Linked DNA regions of Lonchura striata. The protein of the gene in region 1 purifies or fractionates together with the protein of each later gene. This does not show direct contact. Links are inferred from orthologs where the notes say so. Each region holds a gene or a part of one and is shown in the gene's direction. Other genes may lie near its edges.

Region 1 (7,203 bases):
CTCCCGTCCCAGCCTCGGGAGCTGTGCCAGCAGCTCCCAGCAGCTCCTGACCCTCCTGCCCTGCCTCGAAATACCCGGTGGCCCCGTGCCAGGGGCTGGGAGCTCACCCAGCTCTGGCAATTCCTGCGGATCCCTTGGCAAGGGCGGCGCTCCAGCCGAGCCAGCCAAATTCCCAATTAACAGCGCCGCTGATGAGCCCCCGCCAGAGCTGAGCTGTGAGGAACAGCCAGGAAAATCCCGAAGCAAAAGCAGGAAAATCCCGAAGCAAAAGCAGGAAAATCCCGAAGCAAAAGGACCCCGAGCAGCTCCAGGGGCCAGGCGGGCAGCATGCATGGGGAAGGCTGGGGTGCTGCAGTGGGAAGGGATCAGGATTGTCCCAGGGCAGCACTTCCCTGCTCCCCTTGCTCTGCGCCAGGACCCCGAACGCATCCCTGGGGCTGGCACTAATTAACCCCCACCCAAACATTTATCCTGTTAATTCCCAGGGAATCGTGGCCAGGAGTGGGAGCCCTGGACTGCTGATCCTGGTCTATCAGGAGCCTGTGAATCCCAGGAATTGTGCTTTCCTCAACATCTGCTGCCTAATCAGAGCAGGAGTTGGGACAAGGCTTCTGCTTCTCCTGCTGGATTTTGGGGGAGTTTTCTGCAAGAGAACAGTTGGAAAATCAGGCTTTAACCTCCAAGGTTGGAATTGATGATCTCAGAGGTCTTTTCCAACCTTAATCCCTCTGGGATTCCACATCTCTACTTCCCCTTCACTTTAACGCTGATGTTTCTCTGCGTTTGGGGTGCGGGGAAATCACCAAACATCCCAAAGTTCAAAATCTCAAATCCGAGCCAAAAGGAATCCGAGTCACCACAACTTTTCAAAAGCCAAAAAAAGGCACGTGAAAAGGAAATCAGGATGTGTAGAAGTCTCCAGAGCAGCCCAAAAGGGCTTCAATCACATCCTAAATTGTTTATTTCATTATTTGAAAGTGGAGGCGCCAGAAATAGGAATTCCATTTAATTTCTAACTTGATTTGGGTTCTTCTTTCCAACAGCTTCTCCACTGTCCATGGAAGCAGAGCGGGAATCGCTGAATTCCAGAATCTCTGGGATCTCCCTCAGTGTTTTGAATTTCTGACTCTCTTGGAGCTGATTTCAGACCCCCTGGGTTTGTATGGCCAGACCCCCTAAATCGGTACCCCCAGAGCCCCCCAAGCCCCCACAGCTTCTCCTCTTCCTGGCTTCCCTCCCGTGTCTCACCCCTGCTCCTTCCCCTGGAACAGAAATCCACGTTTTTCCAAAGGAAGAGGGGCACTGGGGCCGTGTCATCCCCACTGGCAGTTCCCAGATTTCCTAAGTTATTTGTGCCATGCAAGGAACATTCTTCCACTGAAACTTATGCAGGCAAAAGGAGGAAAGGAAGGAAAAGAAGGAAAATTCCTTTCCAGAGAGGAACAAACAACATTCCTGCATCCCTCACGCACAAAGGCAGACAGGTGAGAACCCACCTTTACATATCAAAACACAACTACAAAGCATTGAATTCACCATGCTAATTATTATCCCAGTATTCCTCCCTTCCTTGGGGTATCTCAGGCCTGGTTTTGCAGGAAAAAGGATCAAACAGGTGAAACTCGGGTCTGGAGGAGATTTTTTTATTCACTTTCAGGCTCCAGGGAAAGAAACAATGTAGGATTCAAGGCAAGGGAGCAGCAACAAGGTGGAGTTGGTTCCTCTTGCTTCCCAATCCCTTTGGAAGCCCCAGCATTTAAAACTGGGAAGGCTCAATCGTCTGTAAACCAGAGCAATCTCCCTAGAGAGGGCAGAGCAAGGAGTGACTCCCACAACCACACAAGAAATAGGAAGGAATTCGAGGTGATGGCTCAGGTTCAGACAAATCCACGCTTCCCTGCTTTCCTCAGAGAGCAGCCCCTGAGGAGCCCAGCTCCCCCCAGACCCTCCTGCAGGACCAGCACTGGGCATTCCAGGAACCTGGGGACAACTGCCCAGCCCTTCCCACCCCAATCCCACCCTCTGTGGCCCCACGAGGGGCTCAGCTCTGCTGCAACCCAGCCAGGGAACTTCCCTTCCCTGGGAATCCTGCACGGACACCTCCCTGCCCTGCCTGCTGGCAAGTTCTGTCTTTGGAATCCCGGTTGGGTGGTCAGGGACCTCAAATCCCCTCCAGGGCCACCCCTGCCATGGCAGGGACACCTCCCACTGCCCCAGGCTGCTCCAGCCCCAGTGTCCAGCCTGGCCTTGGGCACTGCCAGGGATCCAGGGGCAGCCCCAGCTGCTCTGGCAATCCCAGCCCAGCCAGGAATTCCTCATTCCCAATCTCCCATCCATGGCTGCCCTCTGGCAGTGGGAGCCATTCCCTGGGTCCTGTCCCTCCATCCTTGTCCCCAGTCCCTCTGCAGCTCTCCTGGAGCCCCTCCAGGCCCTGCCAGGGCTCTGAGCTCTCCCTGGATCCTTCTCCTCTCCAGGTGAGCCCCCAGCCTGGCTCCATGGGACATGTCACCCTTTATTCCATGAAGAGGATCCATAAAGGTCTCTTGGATGCTGCCCTGGCCCCTCCCTCACCCCAAATCTCTGCTCGGGCCCCCCTCCCCTCCCTGTTCGCTGCCCGCACCCCAACCCTGATCCCCCTTTCCACACCCCTAGCTGTGATCCCGCTTTTCCCTCTTCATTCCTGTTGCGGCTTTTCCCTCTCCACTCCTCATCCCCTCCGTCCCCATCCTTCATTCTCTTTCCCATTCCTGCATCCATCTCTCCCCATCCCTGCTCCCTCCACATCCCCTGGTCCCTGCCTCCCCTGGTCAGCTCCCTGTTCCCCATTCCCCCTCTCCATTCCCTCTCCCCATTCCCTCACTCCATTCCCTCTCCCCATTCCCTCTCTCCATTCCCTCTCCCCATTCCCTCACTCCATTCCCTCTCTCCATTCCCTCACTCCATTCCCTCTCCCCTTTCCCTCACTCTATTCCCTCTCCCCATTCCCTCTCTCCATTCCCTCTCCCCATTCCCTCTCTCCATTTTCCCTCTCTCCATTTTCCCTCTCTCCATTCCCTCTCCCCATTCCCTCACTCCATTCCCTCTCCCCATTCCCTCTCCCCATTCCCTCACTCCATTCCCTCTCCCCATTCCCTCTCCCCATTCACTCTCCCCATTCCCTCACTCCATTCCCTCTCCCCATTCCCTCACTCCATTCCCTCTCCCCATTCCCTCTCCCCATTCCCTCACCCCATTCCCTCTCCCCATTCACTCTCCCCATTCCCTCTCTCCATTCCCTCTCCCCATTCCCTCTCTCCATTCCCTCACTCCATTCCCTCTCTCCATTCCCTCACTCCATTCCCTCTCCCCTTTCCCTCACTCTATTCCCTCTCTCCATTCCCTCTCCCCATTCCCTCACTCCATTCCCTCTCCCCATTCCCTCTCCCCATTCACTCTCCCCATTCCCTCTCCCCATTCACTCTCCCCATTCCCTCACTCCATTCCCTCTCCCCATTCCCTCTCCCCATTCCCTCTCCCCATTCCCTCACTCCATTCCCTCTCCCCATTCCCTCTCCCCATTCCCTCTCCCCTCCCTCTCCATCCCGGACCCCTGCACAGCCCCGACCCCGCCCGCCGGTCCCGCCCGCTCCCTGAGGCGATGTGCCGCCCCGGGCCGCCGCGGCGCACCTCCATGGCCTGTCCCAGCTCCAGATCGAAGGTCACCACGCACACGCAGTCGATCCAGGCGGCGAAGCGGCCCCAGGGCAGCGGGGAGGCGGCGGCGGCGGCGGCGGCGCGGCGGGGCCGCGGCCCGGCCCGGCTCAGCGCGTCCATGGCGGCGCCGCCCGCGCGGCCCGGCCCGCCGCGCCCCCTGCCGGCCGGGAGGACCGCGCCCCAACGCGCCCCAACGCGCCCCGCCGCGCCCCCTGCCGGCCGGGAGGACCCGAACGCGCCGCCCGCACCATCGAGACGGGGGCGGGCGCGCGGAGCGCCGCGGGCGGGGCCGCGCGGGTGTCATGGCGGCGGCGTGAGGGCGGCGTGAGGGCGCCGCGGGGCTTGGGCGCGCTGCGCCCACGGCGGCTTCACCGCTCGGTGCCCGGCCCCTGCCTGCGCCGGCCGGGGCCTGTCGGACCGCCGTGTGTCCCGGCCGGAGCCTGTCGGACCCCCGTGTGTCCCGCCGGGGCCCCCCGCCCCGGCTGTGCCCGGTGTGAGCCTCCCCGAGCCCCCTTTCGCCGATTTAGGAGCGCGCCAAACACCGTTAAGAGACGCCGTTTGTTCCCTGCCGGCCGTGAGGAGGAGATCTCCACAAAGCCAGCTGAGGAAGGGGTCAAAAATGGCATCTCTTCTGCAGGAGAAGTCACACAAACCCGGCCCGCTGTAACTCACACGCTCCACCTGCCGAAGGCGCAGTTCATGGTGTGACCTAACCTGGCCCGGCTGAAAGTTGACTTTCGCTTGAAACAGAGTTCTTTCATTAAGCGGCTTCTATTGTAGAAGTTACCTGAGGCCTCAGTTACGTTTACAAAGGTGAGAAGATGACATCCATTCCTTCAGGAGAAGTTTGCCCCGGGGATGTTGGCAGAGCCGGGCACGGCGGCGTTCCCCGGGCAGAGGGCAAAGGGTGGCCCGGGATTGTTGGTCACCGTGATTTTTGTGGCATTCCAGGCACTTTGAGGGGTTATTTATTGCCAGCTCAAGCCCGGAGCAAGGCAGGAGTAGGACCACCATAAAAAGGAAGTGTGAGAAGGAACAATTCCAGCCTGGCAGTGCCCAAGGCTGGGTTGGACAGGGCTTGGAGCACCCTGGCACAGCGGTGGAAGGTGTTCCCCCCTGCCCACGGGACGGGATGGGCTTTGAGGTCCCTTCCAGCTGAACCATTCCGTGATTCCAGAGAGCCTAGAGGTGTCCAAGTGACCCCGAGTGTTCCCCCAGGCACCCCGAGTGTGCGCTGACACGGCAGCTCCTGGCAGGAGCTGTTTTCCCCAGGAATTCCATGGCCAGGCTGCCGAGCTCTCCCAGCAGCATCGCCCCCGTAGGTTTGGTTATTTATTTTTGGCACTTCTTTGCCCCCCCCCAGTGCTGTTTGTTCAGCTTCAGGCCTTTAATGTCCTTACCCGGCCTGTCCTGCCCCTGTTGAACTCCCCTGATCAGGGAGCAGAGGAGCTGCACTTAAACACTGTCCCATGAATTGCTAGTTAATGCTAATTGTGATTTATTAGCCTGCAACACTACATTTACACTTGCCACACTTGAAGCTGATTCTTGTCACGCAAGGGACAGGAGGGAAAGATAAGGAAAATATGAATTTAAAATAGTTGACATTTTTTCCTCAGTAACTCTTTGTCCCACAATAAAAGTCAGTTTTGATCCTGTCCCAGGGGTCTCCCATGGCTGATTTCACTGCAGCCACACGAACATTCCTGCCTGGCCAAGCAGAAGAAAATTAACTGTGAATCAAAGGGGCAATAAAAGTGCTAAGAACGCCTGAGAAGTATAAAAGTGAGGGCTGGAGGGTTTCCATTAGGATGGGAGCAGAGCCCTGTACCTGAGCAGGGAACTGTCACAGGCAGAAGGTCACACCCAGCATCCCCATTCCTTCACAATTTCCCAGAGCCACAAGGCAGGACAGGCAAATGCTGGAATCACAGAACCTGGGAATCCTGGGATGGGCTGGGTGGGAAGGGACCCCAGAGCCCCTCCAGTGCCACACTGCCATGGCAGGGACACCTCCCACTGTCCCAGGCTGCTCCAGCGTTTCCTTGGACATTCCAGGGATCCAGGGGCAGCCCCAGCTGCTCTGGCAATCCCAGCCCAGCCAGGAATTCCTCATTCCCAATCTCCCATCCCTGGCTGCCCTCTGGCAGTGGGAGCCATTCCCTGGGTCCTGTCCCTCCATCCTTGTCCCCAGTCCCTCTGCAGCTCTCCTGGAGCCCCTTCAGGCCCTGGCAGGGCTCTGAGCTCTCCCTGGAGCCCTCTCCTCTCCAGGTGAGCCCCCCCAGCTCTCCCAGCTTGGCTCCACAGGAGGTTTCCATGAACTCAGGACCTGCCCCAGGGCAGTTCTGCTTTGCTGTTGATGAAACCCCCAAGGTCTCGGGACTCCTTTGCCCAGCTCTCCTCGGTACCGTCCCGGCTGGAGCCCTGCCCGGGGCCGCTGGTGCCGGCCAGGGGAAGCTGCAGAGCGGGATTTTCCCGGAGTGCCGAGCCTGATGCCCGCAGGAGAGGCTGCGGAGGGTCCGATGGCCGGAGTGCTGATCCCAGAGCCGAGCCCGGGGAGCTCCCGGCTGGTGCTGGACCATATTTGGGAAGGTCGGCGCTGCAGCTCTGGAAGCGCAGCGCTGCTGCCGAGCTCGGAGCTGCCGGGGCAGCGCCGGGGCTGCTGCTCATCTCCCCGGCAACCCGGCAAACACAACATTGCCCAAGCCCGGCGGCTATAATTAACTGTGCGCCCCGGCCCTGCGGCCCGCAGGAGCCGCTGCCCGGGCTGCCGTGCTCCCGCACCGCCAGGCTCCGCGGATAATGTTCCCCAGAGCAGCGAGGAGCGTTCCCCGCAGCCCCGGGGAATGCGAGCTGCTCCCGGGGCTGTTTGTGCTCGGGCACCCGGAGCTGTGGGATTTCAAGCAGGCCTGCTCACTCGGCCCAAAAGGCAGCCAGAGAGAAACGCCGGGGTTTGGAAAAGCTCCCGGAGCAGCGCTGGGTGCTCGGCAGAGGCTGTGGCTGGGGGAGAAGGGAGGAAAGCTCGTCCCCTCCTCCCTGCAGGGCCGCTCAGATTAATGTCAAACTGGCGCTGGGAGATCCTGTTCTGATGCCTGCTGGAGGCACCAGATCACGCCTCAATCCTGAGCCAAGAATAGATCCCAGAATTCATCATCCACAGCCTATTCTGGGCCTGCAGCCTCCCACCCAACGTGTGCCCGCTCCCGCTCCGGCCGGGAATCCTGCTCCAGGGCTGGGAGCTCTGCAGCCAGAGCGCTCCCTGTGCTGAGGGGCTGCCCTCACACACAGAACCACGGAATCCAGGAGTGGTTTGGATCGAAGGGGTCCCTAATGCCACCCACTGCCACCCCTGCCAGGGGTCCAGGCTGCTCCCAGCCCCATCCAGCCTGGCCCTGCCACACCTGCCCAGCCCCTCGTGTCAGTGCTAGAGGAGATTCCAGCAGTTGTTCCCAGTGGGATCCAGTGCCCCGTGTCACAGCCAGGCTTGGAACCATGGCCTGGGGTGTCTGT
Region 2 (7,094 bases), on another chromosome or scaffold:
CCGGCACCGGGAGCACCGGGAGCACCGGCGGCACCGGAGTCACCGACTGGCACCGGGAGCACCGGGAGCACCGGGAGCACTGGAGTCACCAGAGTCACCAACCAGCACCGGGAGCACCGGCAGCACCAGAGTCACCGGGAGCACCAGCGGCACCGGGAGCACCGACTGTCACCGGCAGCACTGGGAGCACCGGGAGCGCTGTGCCCTGGGACCCTTCCTGGTGGACAAGAGGGCTTCTAGGGCTTCCCAAATTCCTTCCAGGGCTTCCCAAATTCCTTCCAGGGCTTCCCAAATTCCTTCCAGGGCTTCCCAAATCCCTCCAGAACCTCACAAGTGCCTTCGAGCTTCCCAAATCCCTCCAGAGCTTCTCAGGTCCTTTCCAGAACCTCAAAGGTCCCTCTGGAGCTTCCCAAATCACTTCCAGAACTTCCCAAATCCCTCTGGAGCTCCCCAAATCACTTCCAGAGCCTCACAAGTCCCTTCAGACCATCCCAGGTCCCCTTCCAACCACTCCCAGTCCCTTCTTGGCCACTCCGGGTTCCTTCAGACCATCCCAGGTCCCTTCCTGACCATCCCTGTCCCTTAATGGTCACTCCAGGTCCCTTCCAGAACTTCCAGGTCCCTTTCAGACCATCTCAGGTCCCTTTCCAACCACTCCCAGTCACTTCTTGGCCACTCCAGGTTCTTCAGACCATCCCAAATCACCTCCAGAACTTCCCTTCATTTCCCTTCCAGACCTTCCCAAACCCTTCCAACCCATCCAGCTCCTTGCAGACCTTCCCAAATCACTTCCAGAACTTCCAAAATCCGTTCCAGAGTCTAACAGGCCCCTCAGAGCTTCCCAAATCCCTTCCAGAACTTCCCAAATACCTTCAGACCATCCCAGGTCCCTTTCCAACCACCCCCAGTTCCTTTTTGGCCACTCCGGGTTCCTTGAGAACATCCCAGGTCCTTCAAAATCATCCCAGGTCCTTTCAGACCTTCCCAAATCCCTCCAGAACTTCCCAAATCCCTCCAGAACTTCCAGGTCCCTTCCAGAACTTCCCAAATCACCTCCAGACCATCCCCGGTCCCTCCCGGTCCCTCCCCGCCGGGGGCTCCGGGCCGGTGCCGAGCCGCGGGGACGCTCCCGGGCCTGACGCCGGGAGGAGGAGGAGGAGGAAGGCCGGGACCTCCGAGCCGGGCACACCGAACCCCGGCGGGGCCCGGTGCCGCCGTGCCCCGGTGCCGTCCCGCCTCCGGTGCCGCTCCGGGGCGGCGATCGCGACTTTCCCACGGGAATCGTCCCGCCGGTGCCACCGGGGCCGCCGGTCCCGCTCGTGTCCCCGTGTTCCCTGCCGCGGGTGGCCTCGGGGCCGTCCCCTCCCCGGTGCCACCGGGGTGACCCCGCCGGGGCTCGGTTCCCCCGCGGGCGGCGGCACCGGCGGCACCGCCGCGCTCCCGGTGTCGCCGCGCGGGTTCGCGCCAAGGTCAGAGCCCCCCAGCCAGCGTTCCCCACCCCGCGGCCAACCGGGCCAGCGGCACCGGCGGGCCGCCGCCGCCCCGGGATCACCGGGAGCCCCGGGATCGCCGGGATGGCCCCGCCGGGACCCCCCCGTTCCCACAGGGTGCCCCGGGACCACCGCACCTCACGGGGGCCGGGAGCGCGGCCAGGCCCGGAGGAACCCCCGCAGCACGAGCGCCTCCCGGTGCCCGCCCCGGTGTCCCCGGTGTGACCTCCGCGCCGCCGCCGCTCACCTGCCGGGCGGGGCCGCCGCGGCCCGCAGGCGCTGCCGCGCCCCGAGCTGGAGGGCGCCGCGGAACCGCCGGGCCGCCATCAGCGGGCCGGGACCGGGACCGGGACCGGGGCCGGGCCGGAACCGGGACCGGCGCCGCCCTGACCTCTCACCCCGTGACGTCACCGCGTCGCCATGGCGCCGGGCACGTCACGGGGCGGGCACCGCCCCCGAGCGGGGCATCATGGGAGTTGTAGGCTGAGAGTGCGCGGGGCACGATGGGAAATGTAGTGCGGGCTGGGGATGCGGCTGCTGCGGGACCGAGAGCAACCGGGAGCAACCGGGAGCGACCGGGAGCAACCGGGACTGCCCCGCCCGGGGCTGCCGGGGCTGGGCTCTGCCCCAGGGGCCGCGCCTCCCACGTGTGCTCCCGGTCCGTGGGTCCGGAGAGGGACGGGGAGCCTCCGGTGCCGTGCCCCGGTAAGGGCCCCGCTCCGAACCGGGCAGAGGAGCCGAGAGAGCGGGGATCCACCGTGGCTGCGGGAACTGTGCGGCCCAGCGCCGCCCACTACAGCGCAACACACAACAGGGCCTCCCAGTGTCTCCCAGTGCAGCTCAGCACATCCCAGTTCAGCCCAGCACATCCCAGTTCCTCCCAGAACATCCCAGTTCAGCCCAGCACATCCCAGTTCCTCCTGGAACATCCCAGTTCCTCCCAGCACATCCCAGTTCAGCTCAGCACGATCCAGTTCCTCCCCCCAGCACATCCCAGTTCCTCCCAGCACGTCCCAGTTCAGCCCAGCACGATCCAGTTCCTCCTCCCAGCACATCCCAGTTCAGCCCAGCACATCCCAGTTCCTCCCGGAACATCCCAGTTCAGCCCAGCACATCCCAGTTCAGCCCAGCACGATCCAGTTCCTCCTCCCAGCACATCCCAGTTCAGCCCAGCACATCCCAGTTCCTCCCAGCACATCCCAGTTCCTCCCAGTTCAGCGCAGGGATGCAGCACCAGTTCCCAGCCCCGTTCCCGGTGCCGGCCCGGCCCCTCTTGGAGCCCCGGGACCCCCCGGGACCACCGGGGGACGGGGTTCCCACCGGACAGACCCCACAGAGGGATGGAAGTGCCACACCGGGACCCCCGGGACCTTCTCCCACCGCCCCAGCACTCTTCAGGCTGGGGCACCCGGGACCCCCGGGGTTACCGACAGCCGCTCCGGGATGCGATTCCCCCCGGGAACACCCGGTGTCACGGCACCGACCCCCGGGGTACCGACAGCCGCTCCGGGATGCGATTCCCCCCGGGAACACCCGGTGTCAGAGCGGCGACCCCCGGGGTTACCGACAGCCCCTCCGGGGTGCGATTCCCACCGGGAACACCCGGTGTCAGAGCAGGGACCCCCGGGGTTACCGACAGCCCCTCCGGGGTGCAATTCCCACCGGGAACACCCGGTGTCAGAGCAGGGACCCCCGGGGTTACCGACAGCCCCTCCGGGGTGCGATTCCCACCGGGAACACCCGGTGTCACGGCACCGACCCCCGGGGTACCGACAGCCGCTCCGGGATGTGATCCCCACCGGGAACACCCGGTGTCAGAGCAGCGACCCCCGGGGTTACCGACAGCCCCTCCGGGGTGCGATTCCCCCCGGGAACACCCGGTGTCAGAGCAGTGACCCCCGGGGTTACCGACAGCCCCTCCGGGATGCGATCCCCACCGGGAACACCCGGTGTCACGGCACCGACCCCCGGGGTACCGACAGCCGCTCCGGGGTGCGATTCCCCCCGGGAACACCCGGTGTCAGGGCACCGACCCCCGGGGTACCGACAGCCCCTCCGGGGTGCGATTCCCCCCGGGAACACCCGGTGTCAGGGCACCGACCCCCGGGGTACCGACAGCCCCTCCGGGGTGCAATTCCCCCCGGGAACACCCGGTGTCAGGGCACCGACCCCCGGGGTTACCGACAGCCCCTCCGGGATGTGATCCCCACCGGGAACACCCGGTGTCAGGGCACCGACCCCCGGGGTTACCGACAGCCCCTCCGGGGTGTGATCCCCACCGGGGACACCCGGTGTCAGAGCAGTGACCCCCGGACCCCCGGGGTACCGACAGCCCCTCCGGGGTGCGATTCCCCCCGGGAACACCCGGTGTCACGGCACCGACCCCCGGGCCGCTCTCCCCCGCCCCGCCGCCCCTCGGGCCGGGCCCGGCGCTGCCCGGAGACCCCCGGCGATGCGGCCGCCCCGGGGCCGCCCCCGCCGCCGCCGCCGCCGCCCGGGGCTCGGTGGGCGGCGCATCCCCGCCGCTCCTTCCCCGCCCCGCCGCCGCCCGAGCGGAGCCGCCGCGGCCGGACCCGATGCCGGCAGCTGGGCGCTGAGGGCGGCCCCGACATGGGGGTTCTCAGCATCACGGACCAGGTACGGCCGAGCCCCGCTCCCGCTCCCGCTCCCGCCTTGCCCGGGCGGCGCCGCCACGGCAGCCCGGGGATGTGCGGCCTAGCGCGGCTCCCGCCGGGCCCGGCCCGCCGCCGCCGCAGGCCCCGGGCCGCCGCCCCGCTCCGCCGGGCCCCGCCGCCGCTCCGGCACCGCCGCTCCGGCACCGCCGCGGCCCGGGACGGCGCGGGAGGGCCCGGGAGGGAGCGGGAGGGAGCGGGAGGGAGCGGGAGGGAACGGGAGAGAACGGGAGAGAGCGGGAGAGAACGGGAGGGAACGGGAGAGAACGGGAGGGAACGGGAGGGAACGGGAGAGAACGGGAGGGAACGGGAGGGAACGGGAGAGAACGGGAGGGAGCGGGAGGGAGCGGGAGAGAACGGGAGAGCCCCGGGAGGGAACGGGAGGGAACGGGAGAGCCCCGGGAGGGAACGGGAGAGCCCCGGGGATGGAACGGGAGAGAACGGGAGGGAACGGGAGAGAACGGGAGAGCCCCGGGGATGGAACGGGAGAGCCCCGGGAGGGAACAGGAGGGAACGGGAGAGCCCCGGGGAGGGAGCGGGAGAGAACGGAAGAGCCCCGGGGATGGAACGGGAGAGAACGGGAGGAAACGGGAGAGCCCCGGGGAGGGAATGGGAGAGCCCCGGGAGGGAACGGGAGAGAACGGGAGGAAACGGGAGAGCCCCGGGGATGGAACGGGAGAGCCCCGGGGATAGAACGGGAGGGAACGGGAGAGAACGGGAGAGCCCCGGGGATGGAACGGGAGAGCCCCGGGGATGGAACGGGAGAGCCCCGGGGATGGAACGGGAGGGAACGGGAGAGCCCCGGGGAAGGAATGGGAGAGCCCCGGGAGGGAACGGGAGAGCCCCGGGGATAGAACGGGAGGGAACGGGAGAGCCCCGGGGATGGGACCCCCGGGAGGGAACGGGAGAGCCCCGGGGATGGGACCCCCGGGAGGGAACGGGAGAGCCCCGGGGATGGGACCCCCGGGAGGGAACGGGAGAGCCCCGGGGATGGGACCCCCGGGAGGGAACGGGAGAGCCCCGGGGATGGGACCCCCGGGAGGGAACGGGAGAGCCCCGGGGATGGGACCCCCGGGAGGGAACGGGAGGGCCCCGGGGATGGGATCCCCGGCCCAGGGATGTGAAGCATCACAGGGGGATCCTGCTCCATGAGACCCCCCGGCCTGGGGACCGCAGAGCTTCGAGAGGAGATCCCGGTCCTGGGACCCCCTGGCCCGGGAACGGCAGAGCCCCGGGATGGGACCCCTGGATCAGGAACAGCAGAGCCCCCGGGATGGGACCCCTGGATCAGGAACAGCAGAGCCCCGGGATGGGATCCCTGGATCATAACGGCAGAGCCCCCGGGATGGGATCCCTGGATCAGGAAGGGCAGAGCCCCGGGATGGGATCCCTGGATCAGGAAGGGCAGAGCCCCCGGGATGGGATCCCTGGATCAGGAACGGCAGAGCCCCGGGTTGGGATCCCTGGATCAGGAAGGGCAGAGCCCCCGGGATGGGACCCCTGGATCAGGAAGGGCAGAGCCCCCGGGATGGGATCCCTGGATCAGGAACGGCAGAGCCCCGGGATGGGATCCCTGGATCAGGAACGGCAGAGCCCCCGGGGTTGGGATCCCTGGATCAGGAACGGCAGAGCCCCGGGATGGGATCCCTGGATCAGGAGCGGCAGAGCCCCGGGGATGGGATCCCTGGATCAGGAACGGCAGAGCCCCGGGTTGGGATCCCTGGATCAGGAACGGCAGAGCCCCGGGATGGGATCCCTGGATCAGGAACGGCAGAGCCCCGGGTTGGGATCCCTGGATCAGGAAGGGCAGAGCCCCCGGGATGGGATCCCTGGATCAGGAACGGCAGAGCCCCGGGTTGGGATCCCTGGATCAGGAAGGGCAGAGCCCCCGGGATGGGACCCCTGGATCAGGAAGGGCAGAGCCCCCGGGATGGGATCCCTGGATCAGGAACGGCAGAGCCCCGGGATGGGATCCCTGGATCAGGAACGGCAGAGCCCCCGGGGTTGGGATCCCTGGATCAGGAACGGCAGAGCCCCGGGATGGGATCCCTGGATCAGGAACGGCAGAGCCCCCGGGGTTGGGATCCCTGGATCAGGAACGGCAGAGCCCCGGGATGGGATCCCTGGATCAGGAACGGCAGAGCCCCGGGGTTGGGACCCCTGGATCAGGAAGGGCAGAGCCCCGGGGTTGGGATCCCTGGATCAGGAAGGGCAGAGCCCTGGGATGGGATCCCTGGATCAGGAAGGGCAGAGCCCTGGGATGGGATCCCTGGATCAGAAATGGCGGAGCCCTGGGATGGGACCCCTGGATCAGGAACGGCAGAGCCCCCGGGATGGGATCCTTGGATCAGGAAGGGCAGAGCCCCGGGGTTGGGATCCCTGGATCAGGAAGGGCAGAGCCCCGGGGTTGGGATCCCTGGATCAGGAAGGGCAGAGCCCCCGGGATGGGATCCCTGGATCAGGAAGGGCAGAGCCCCCGGGATGGGATCCCTGGATCAGGAAGGGCAGAGCCCCGGGGTTGGGATCCCTGGATCAGGAAGGGCAGAGCCCTGGGATGGGATCCCTGGATCAGGAAGGGCAGAGCCCTGGGATGGGATCCCTGGATCAGGAACGGCAGAGCCCCGGGATGGGATCCCTGGATCAGGAACGGCAGAGCCCCGGGATGGGATCCCTGGATCAGGAGCGGCAGAGCCCCCGGGATGGGATCCCTGGATCAGGAAGGGCAGAGCCCCCGGGATGGGATCCCTGGATCAGGAAGGGCAGAGCCGCCAGGGTTGGGACCCCTGGATCAGGAATGGTGGAGCCCCGGGATGGGATCCCTGGATCAGGAACGGCAGAGCCCCCGGGATGGGATCCCTGGATCAGGAAGGGCAGAGCCGCCAGGGTTGGGACCCCTGGATCAGGAACGGCAGAGCCCAGGGTTGGGATCCCT
Region 3 (7,156 bases), on another chromosome or scaffold:
ACCTCCTCCTGCCAGTGAATTTAAATCTGGCCTAAAAGGAAAGTGTGCTGGCTGATATCTTAGCTAGAACACATGTTGGAAGATGCAGAACCCTCATATTTTCACTTTCTTTTAAGAGAAATAGGAGTTGCCTTTGCTTTTCTGGGTTTTGGTCTGTGCACAGTTTGATTGCTAGACTCCTTATTTTGGACACCAGAGATAATTTTTTTCAGGTATTTACTTATGTTGTACTGTGATGGCCATATGGTCCTTCAGCCAAGAGCTTGTCTGCAGGTGTGTTGTTCAGATACATAGAATAGAAGTCTTAAACAGCAAATTGCTTAGTAGACTTTTAACACTTTCAAGGTGCTTTACTGCTCTTTGGTCAGATGATATTTTTAACATATTACTGGGTGTTTAAGTATACAACTGAAGTTTGTGTCTGAATCACAGACATTTTTTATTATTCATTTTTCTTATGTTGCTCCAACTGAGAAAAGTTAGAGTGAATGCTAGATTATTTTTCTTCTTTGTGTTTCAATTGCAGCTGAAATGGCTTTTTAGATACTGGATTTTATTAATTACCAAGTGTTCAAAGATAGTATGTGACTATGTGAAATAGTTCTTTAGATTAACAGAGCCTGTATAATTGCATGAGAAAAAGTAGGAATTGCCTGTGGTATCATGAAGTGCAAGCATAGCTATTTTGCTTGTTCTTAGAAGAAAAACTGTGGAGTCCAGGGATTAAAACTATTCTGCAGATGCAGATGCTCTGGAATAAACAGAACAAAACTGGGAAGAAAGGTACTAATTTCTTGCTTTAGTCTGTTCTCTTTCCTGACTCCACCTCATTCCCTCAGGAGTGGGGAGGAAACAGCAGAGGAGTTCAGATGAGTGACTCATTAAAAGTATTCTAGAATTATTGTAACTTACTTATATTCATGGTGATGCTGAACACTCATCTCTGTCTGTATTTAATAAAATCTGCTTATACTGGAGTATGCCTATGTACTTAGAGCTGTGGCTGTTAAAAGCAATCTTTGTCTTCTGAAGAAATACACAGATTAGGTATTTGCCTTGCAAAGTTGATATATGACTTGGTTCTAAGTTTTTTCATTTTTAATGGAACCTGACAGAACTATTGTCTTCCTTACCTAGATTCTTTTAATCATTCAAAATATTACCTGAAACCTGTTGGATTAACCTCAACCCAGAAGAAAAAACTTAGTAAATGCTGATTGGCAAGAGAGAAATCTTTATCTGAGTAGATTCTTTGATATTGAGTCCTTTGGTTTTTGGTGTCATCAGCAGTGCTGCTACAGTCTTCTGCTCATTTGTTCCTAGAGAAGAGGGCAGATCCATAGAAAAGGTTGCTGTTTTTAGCTGATTCAGAGTTAATGTTTTTTCTGTCTAGTGTAGATGGCAGACATATGTTTTAACCTGCGGGTTGCATCCTTGTAATATATTTTCTTTATATGCACCCATTAGAGACTCTTGAAACTTGATTTACTTAAAGACAAGTGTAGTTTGAAAATTACACTTTTTTTCCCTTACCACATCAACACAAAAAGCCTTTATTTTCACAAAAATTCATATCACCATTGCACTTCTTAAAATTTGAGAGTTGTGTGGAGATACTACTTTGCTAATAGATCTTGTGGAGGTCAGATCACCACCCAAATCCCTGTAGACATGGCATTCTTTTTTTCAAGTTAGGCCATTTTTAAGCCTTCTTTTCTGCTTCTCATTTTATAAGCTTTTGTATTGGAAATAGATGACTTTTGGAGAAGATGTATGGTGATGACCTGCTGTCTTCAGTTATTTTAAGTTTTATTAATCCAAACTGTTTGAGATGCAATGTTCTTTATACCTTTGCAAAGTTCTGTTATGATTCCTAAATTAGTTTGAGGAACAGAAGCTTAAATTAATCATCTTGAATTTATTCTGCTTTCATTTTCTGTTCCTATTAACTCTTCTACACAGAAAGTTGTTAGTCTAGATAAGCTGCTGAAAAATTGAAACCTTAGTCTGGTTTCTTACAGTAGAATTCTAAACAGCTTTTGGGTTTTAGAAGATCTCTTAGGTGACATTAGAAACTGCATTTTGCCCTCCAGAAGATGACTTGAATGGTTTTTTGCAGTTGAAAGAAGAGGTGATTAGAGATGCTGTTTGCATTGAAGTGAAGGCACAGCTTTTGGTTGAAGGGGGAAATGCTAGTTAATTGTGAGCAAAAATTAAATATCCAGAACTGGTTTTTCCTTTGGTTACGGAAGCAATTGCACACACACAGTCCTATCATGAGCAGAGTGTTTTTGCTTACTTACATGGCTTAGATTGCTATGGAAATCAATATAATATTGATTCAGTTGTGTTGGTTGTCTTTTTAATGCAAACTGTGATGTACTGGCTTTTAACTCTCTGTTGTGATGTCACAATTCAAAACCATACAGTGTTAGGTGAGATATATGTTTACTTGCTTTTGGACATAATTTATATTAATTGTAAATTATCAGAGTAAATTAAAATGTTCTGAATTTTCACAATTAACTGAGTGTGAAAGCCTATTTTTTTAAAAGTAACTATTGAATTTCTAGCTGCCTTGGAGCATTAATTACAAAGGTAAAAAATGGACCACATTCAGATAATTTGAACTAAATTAGGCATTGTCTCTATCTAGCAATGTGTCCAGTTGGTAATTCCGAAGAAAGCATATAGAACCCTTGGCATTTGCATATTGTATAAATCTACTGACTCTTGAAAAGTGTTAATTTACACTGAACATATGGGCTTAGCTGGAAAGCCATTATCTAGCAAGTGTGTATGTATCATATGAAGCTTGCCAGTATTTTGCTTTTACACATAAAATCTGAGTTTTAATTTTTTTAAAATGCGTGTTTAGTTACACAAGTAAGCCAAAGTGTCTGTTCCTGAGGGCATTTTTCACAAATAGAAAGCAAGCTATTTTCTGTGTTGTGGTTGTTGTGTTCCATAGCAGACAGTAGGGTGTTGCAACAGCTGAGCTTTGAGGATGTCCATAGTTTATTAGAATTAGTTCTCCTGTGGCCAAGAAGAACGTGAGTTGCTGTATGTATTCAGGTGAATCCGTGTTGTTGCTTTTTAATAAATGGCTGAAATGCTAGAACAAAGCAGTGTGGTGTACAAATCATTGTTTTTTTTGTAATTAAGACCAAAAGGATGAGATTGCAAAGCAACTAGACTCTATGTAATGAACCAAATATATTTATAAAGTTATTTGTTAGTCTTGAAAAATTTTAATCTGAAATGTCATGATGAATCAGAATCTGGTGCTGTATTCTGCCAGGTCAGGACTCTAGAGGTCAGGGAGCCCTTGCCCAAAGTACTTTTTTGCACTTAGTAAGTTTCACCTGCATAGTGTCAGGGGGAAAGGGAGGTGTTTAAGCAATTCATTATGTTACAATCAAGCTACTGTAGGCATTTTTGCAAAAGAGTTCATGTAAGCTTTTCCTGTCTGTAGCCCCCAAAGGTGGGAATTCAGTATGTCTATTTATATCCAAACCACACCATTTAAACCTGTCTTTCTCTCTGCTTGGATTCGTGTGTGAAATTTGAGTGCAAATACTTTATTGAAGAGCTATAAACTTGCTCACCATTGACAAATTCTGCTCTTAGCAGCCACTGAAGGACATCAGAATTGCCTTCGTGCTGCACAGCAGGAGCAAAAACCCTCCCTCTATTCCTGTAACACTGAAGCTTATCCAGCAACTTTTGACAGAAGCCATTTACATAATACACCCACGAGCCAGCACCATTTAGGCAGATTCAAGCCGAAGTATTTATTCAGCAAGTTGTAGGGATTCATATTATACCTCATTATTATGGTGTATTTTAATAATATTATATTTAAATTATACTTAATGTAATTTTTTTTTAAAGCTGAGGTTGTGTTTGTCTGTACTAATTGCAAAAAACCCACGGCTTTGGTCATTAATAGCTGGCTTTTTAATAGTCAGCCTATTGCTTTAAGATTTTACTTTTAATTTAATTTTCAGAGGATTTATGTGGGGCATTTGTTGTCTTTAGTGAGTTAAGTGAGAACTGTTTTGCTGCTCTGACCAGTGCCATATGAAAGCAGTTAAAGTGCTGGAATTGTTTACTGCCTAAAGTGTAGTTAGTCAGCACAGCCACATTTCTTTGCGGCTTTTAGTGGAAAATATTAAAACAGTCGCTCTTTCTTCAGTTATAGAATTTTTACGTTTTCAGCTGCGTTAGTCACCGATCTGGCGCAGGCTGCAAAGACTGCCCCCAAAAAAAGCAAAAGGCGGGTTTTTTTTGGTGGCAGAGGAAGTTACCCTGGGAGCGGTGGCTGGGTGCTCTGGTAAGTGTGACATGTGAGCATTACTCGGCATTGCGCCCTGGCAGGCTGCAGGCGCTGCTCCCAGGCTGCTGCTCAGGGAGCGCCGCCGTGGCACTGCCTGGTGCGCCGCTCCTGCCGCCTCGGACACCCAAGCTGGTTTTTGAGCTTTACAAGCCTCTCTGCTGATTGTATAATTTAATTTGTCAAGGAAAAAACCTAATAAGCAGAAGCTCTAACTGAAGAGGAGAATCAGGTTGGCGCAGTGACAGATGTTCGGATAAAGAAGTTGGCTCAGAGAAGATGTACAGAGTCTGATTTTTTTCTTCCTTTTTTTTCCTCCCCCTCAATCTGAATGAAGACTATCATGGGAACTGCATTCACATGGTGATCAAAAGAAACACTTGAGTGATGAACTGCTTTTGCAGAAGTCGTCTAAGGCAGTAATTTGAGCTTTTGTGTGCAGTAGCTAGCTTGTTTTGCTGAAGCATTCCTCCTCTACAGTATTTCTGCCTTACGCATTCCCTGATGGAGAAGCCACAGCTACTGCCTGGTGAAGGAAAAATGAACTATCCGCATTGCTCGTGTCCCTGACGGAGTAGCACCGGCTGCGCTGCTTCTGCTGGATTCGGCCGGCAGTATTATTCAAGGAGTTCATTGTCCCTGTGGTCTGACTCATTGCATGTAAATGTGCTGCAGCCCTGCTGCACGTTGCAGCTATTTTCTTGCATGGGAAAGAATTCTTTTCCTCTCAGCAGGTCCTGAATAACTGCTGAACCGAGATGTGTTTTTCTGTCTGGACTGTTTTTGACATTGAGAAAGGAAGCTGGAGAATGGCAGGATGATCGGGAGGCACGTTTATTTTCAGTCACCAAAAAGCCTGTGAGGGTTGATTTAAACTGACCTTGCAGGAGTGGGAATAGCTGCGGCCGTCTCTCTCGGGGCAATTGTTCCTTGTTCCGTCCTCTGCAGGACGGAGTCATGTCTTCTGCAACAATGACTTCACTGTGAGGGTAGAAGGACGCTGTGGAAGTTGTGACATTAACAAAGACAAATTTGCTTCTGAAAGGACAGCTGTGTGTGACAGTGAGTGCTGTTCAAATGGAATTGGATCTTGGGATATTTTTATGAGCTGTTCCACGGTTTTGTTATTGTGGTTTTGATGCTTAGGGACTTTTTATTTCATCAAGAACTACTTTTTTCAGCAGTGTCTTGAACATCTCATGGTGTTTCAGTTTGGAAAATGAATTGTGAGGGGGGATTGGAATGCCCCTTTCTAGATGCTAAGACACCAGCAGTAGCACTCACAAGTTTGTGAGGGCCTGTGAAACAGGTGAAAGTGTTTCCTCTATGGTCACTATTGTGATACCTGCAGTCTGCTTCCAAAAATATCATTGCTGGCATTTTCTTGTTTGCTTTTGCTTCCTCAAACGGATCGAATGAGTCGAGTCTGTATTGTTGTTTTGGAGGAGGAGGAAGATGATTCTCCCTCATTTATTTCCAATATACCTCAGGAAAATGTATCTGTACATCCATCACCCTCTGGAAATGTGCTGGTAAGGCATGTTGTTTGTTGGCAGATTCCCTGCTTATAATGCTGTCTCAAATGCCAATAGCTATATTCCTGAAATAAGGATGAATACATACAATGGTGAAACCAGACAAGGTGATAAAATATGCATGTAATAAAGATGGAAAAAGCTGAAACTTAGTGGTAGAATTTATGCTTGCAAGGGTCCTTTCTATTTCATGTGACCTTATTTATGGTGCAGCAAGAACAGGTCTTCATTATTGTGCAATAGCAGTGGGGTTTTAGAAGGCGTGAGGAAGTGTATTTGAAGTAAAGGGGCTTTCCCTGCTCCACTTCTCATCTTCAATAGTACATTTATGCAGTACTACTTTAGAAGCTGATGTGATCATTGTATTATAATCATATGCTGTGTTTATTTTGAGAACTAATAGAGTATATCGTTATATCAAACAAGGGTAATTCTAAGCTAAAATAAAAATTAACATAAGTCACAATCTTGGTATTAGATTCAAGTTAGCACTTTCTGAAAATGATCAACACTGGGAACTGTGCTTTTATTGCTTGAAATTATTTTATTCTGACAAGTGACTGATTTAAATCTTGCTAGCATACCTCAGCAGCTTTTCTTACTTACTAAGAAATCCTGCTATATTTAGTAATAGATGTGTGTGAGTGTGAATTTGTTACCATACTTATCTGATGCACTTTGCTTTCCTACTCTGTCTAAACAGGTGAAAGACTTCCAGTAACTTGAGTCACTTGCTAATGTAAAAGGGGATTGTTTGCTTATACTGTATAGAATTTGCAGCATGTAATGACAACCCTAATTTTGTTCTAAGGCATTCTCTTTTCAGCTGTTATAAGCTTGTCTTCTCAGCTCCTTTTTTTTTCTCGCACATATATATTTAATTGACTTGGAGGATGTCCGTGTGTTTGAGGTTTTTAAAACTTGCAATTTCTTTGATTCTAATTACTGGCGCTGGTTTCTTTGTTTTACTGTCTGGAATGGGTTTTTTGTCATTACCTTGGGTTTCTGTTATGTATCAAAAAAACTGTATGTGTATCACTAAAACAGGGTTTTATTTTGTGTTTCTTCTTCATTTTAGCCACCATTGGTTCAAGCTATATTTAATGGAGATCCTGATGAAGTTCGAGCACTAATATTTAAGAAAGAAGATGTTAATTTTCAGGTAAAATCAAATATAATTCTCTTGTAATAGATTTTAATTTTTTAATATATTTTAGTTTTGTTTGTTATATCTTTCTGCTGTACTAATGTCCTTAAAACTTTACTGATTATTGAGCTGTATATT

Evidence for each region. The genes of interacting proteins can lie anywhere in the genome.
Region 2: the proteins of PPP6R2 (region 1) and ANKRD52 purify together in Homo sapiens (affinity purification with mass spectrometry; 3 studies listed by BioGRID and IntAct, counting the BioPlex papers as one, with this or other methods). This does not show direct contact. The link is inferred for Lonchura striata from reciprocal best matches to the Homo sapiens genes PPP6R2 and ANKRD52.
Region 3: the proteins of PPP6R2 (region 1) and ANKRD28 purify together in Homo sapiens (co-immunoprecipitation; 4 studies listed by BioGRID and IntAct, counting the BioPlex papers as one, with this or other methods). This does not show direct contact. The link is inferred for Lonchura striata from reciprocal best matches to the Homo sapiens genes PPP6R2 and ANKRD28.

Annotation. Positions count from the first base shown.
Region 1 is NC_134607.1:72,861,816-72,869,018, reverse strand, and holds the start of PPP6R2 (serine/threonine-protein phosphatase 6 regulatory subunit 2), read left to right. Parts: upstream 1-4,198; 5' UTR 4,199-4,506; intron 4,507-7,203. Other genes in the region: protein DENND6B, read right to left, coding at 3,667-3,813. UniProt on the Homo sapiens protein: Regulatory subunit of protein phosphatase 6 (PP6). May function as a scaffolding PP6 subunit. Involved in the PP6-mediated dephosphorylation of NFKBIE opposing its degradation in response to TNF-alpha.
Region 2 is NC_134629.1:5,549,095-5,556,188, reverse strand, and holds the start of ANKRD52 (serine/threonine-protein phosphatase 6 regulatory ankyrin repeat subunit C), read left to right. Parts: upstream 1-4,074; 5' UTR 4,075-4,100; coding exon 4,101-4,127; intron 4,128-7,094. Other genes in the region: COQ10A (coenzyme Q-binding protein COQ10 homolog A, mitochondrial), read right to left, coding at 1,738-1,817. UniProt on the Homo sapiens protein: Putative regulatory subunit of protein phosphatase 6 (PP6) that may be involved in the recognition of phosphoprotein substrates.
Region 3 is NC_134603.1:121,892,911-121,900,066, forward strand, and holds the start of ANKRD28 (serine/threonine-protein phosphatase 6 regulatory ankyrin repeat subunit A), read left to right. Parts: upstream 1-4,136; 5' UTR 4,137-5,751; coding exon 5,752-5,868; intron 5,869-6,949; coding exon 6,950-7,033; intron 7,034-7,156. UniProt on the Homo sapiens protein: Regulatory subunit of protein phosphatase 6 (PP6) that may be involved in the recognition of phosphoprotein substrates. Involved in the PP6-mediated dephosphorylation of NFKBIE opposing its degradation in response to TNF-alpha.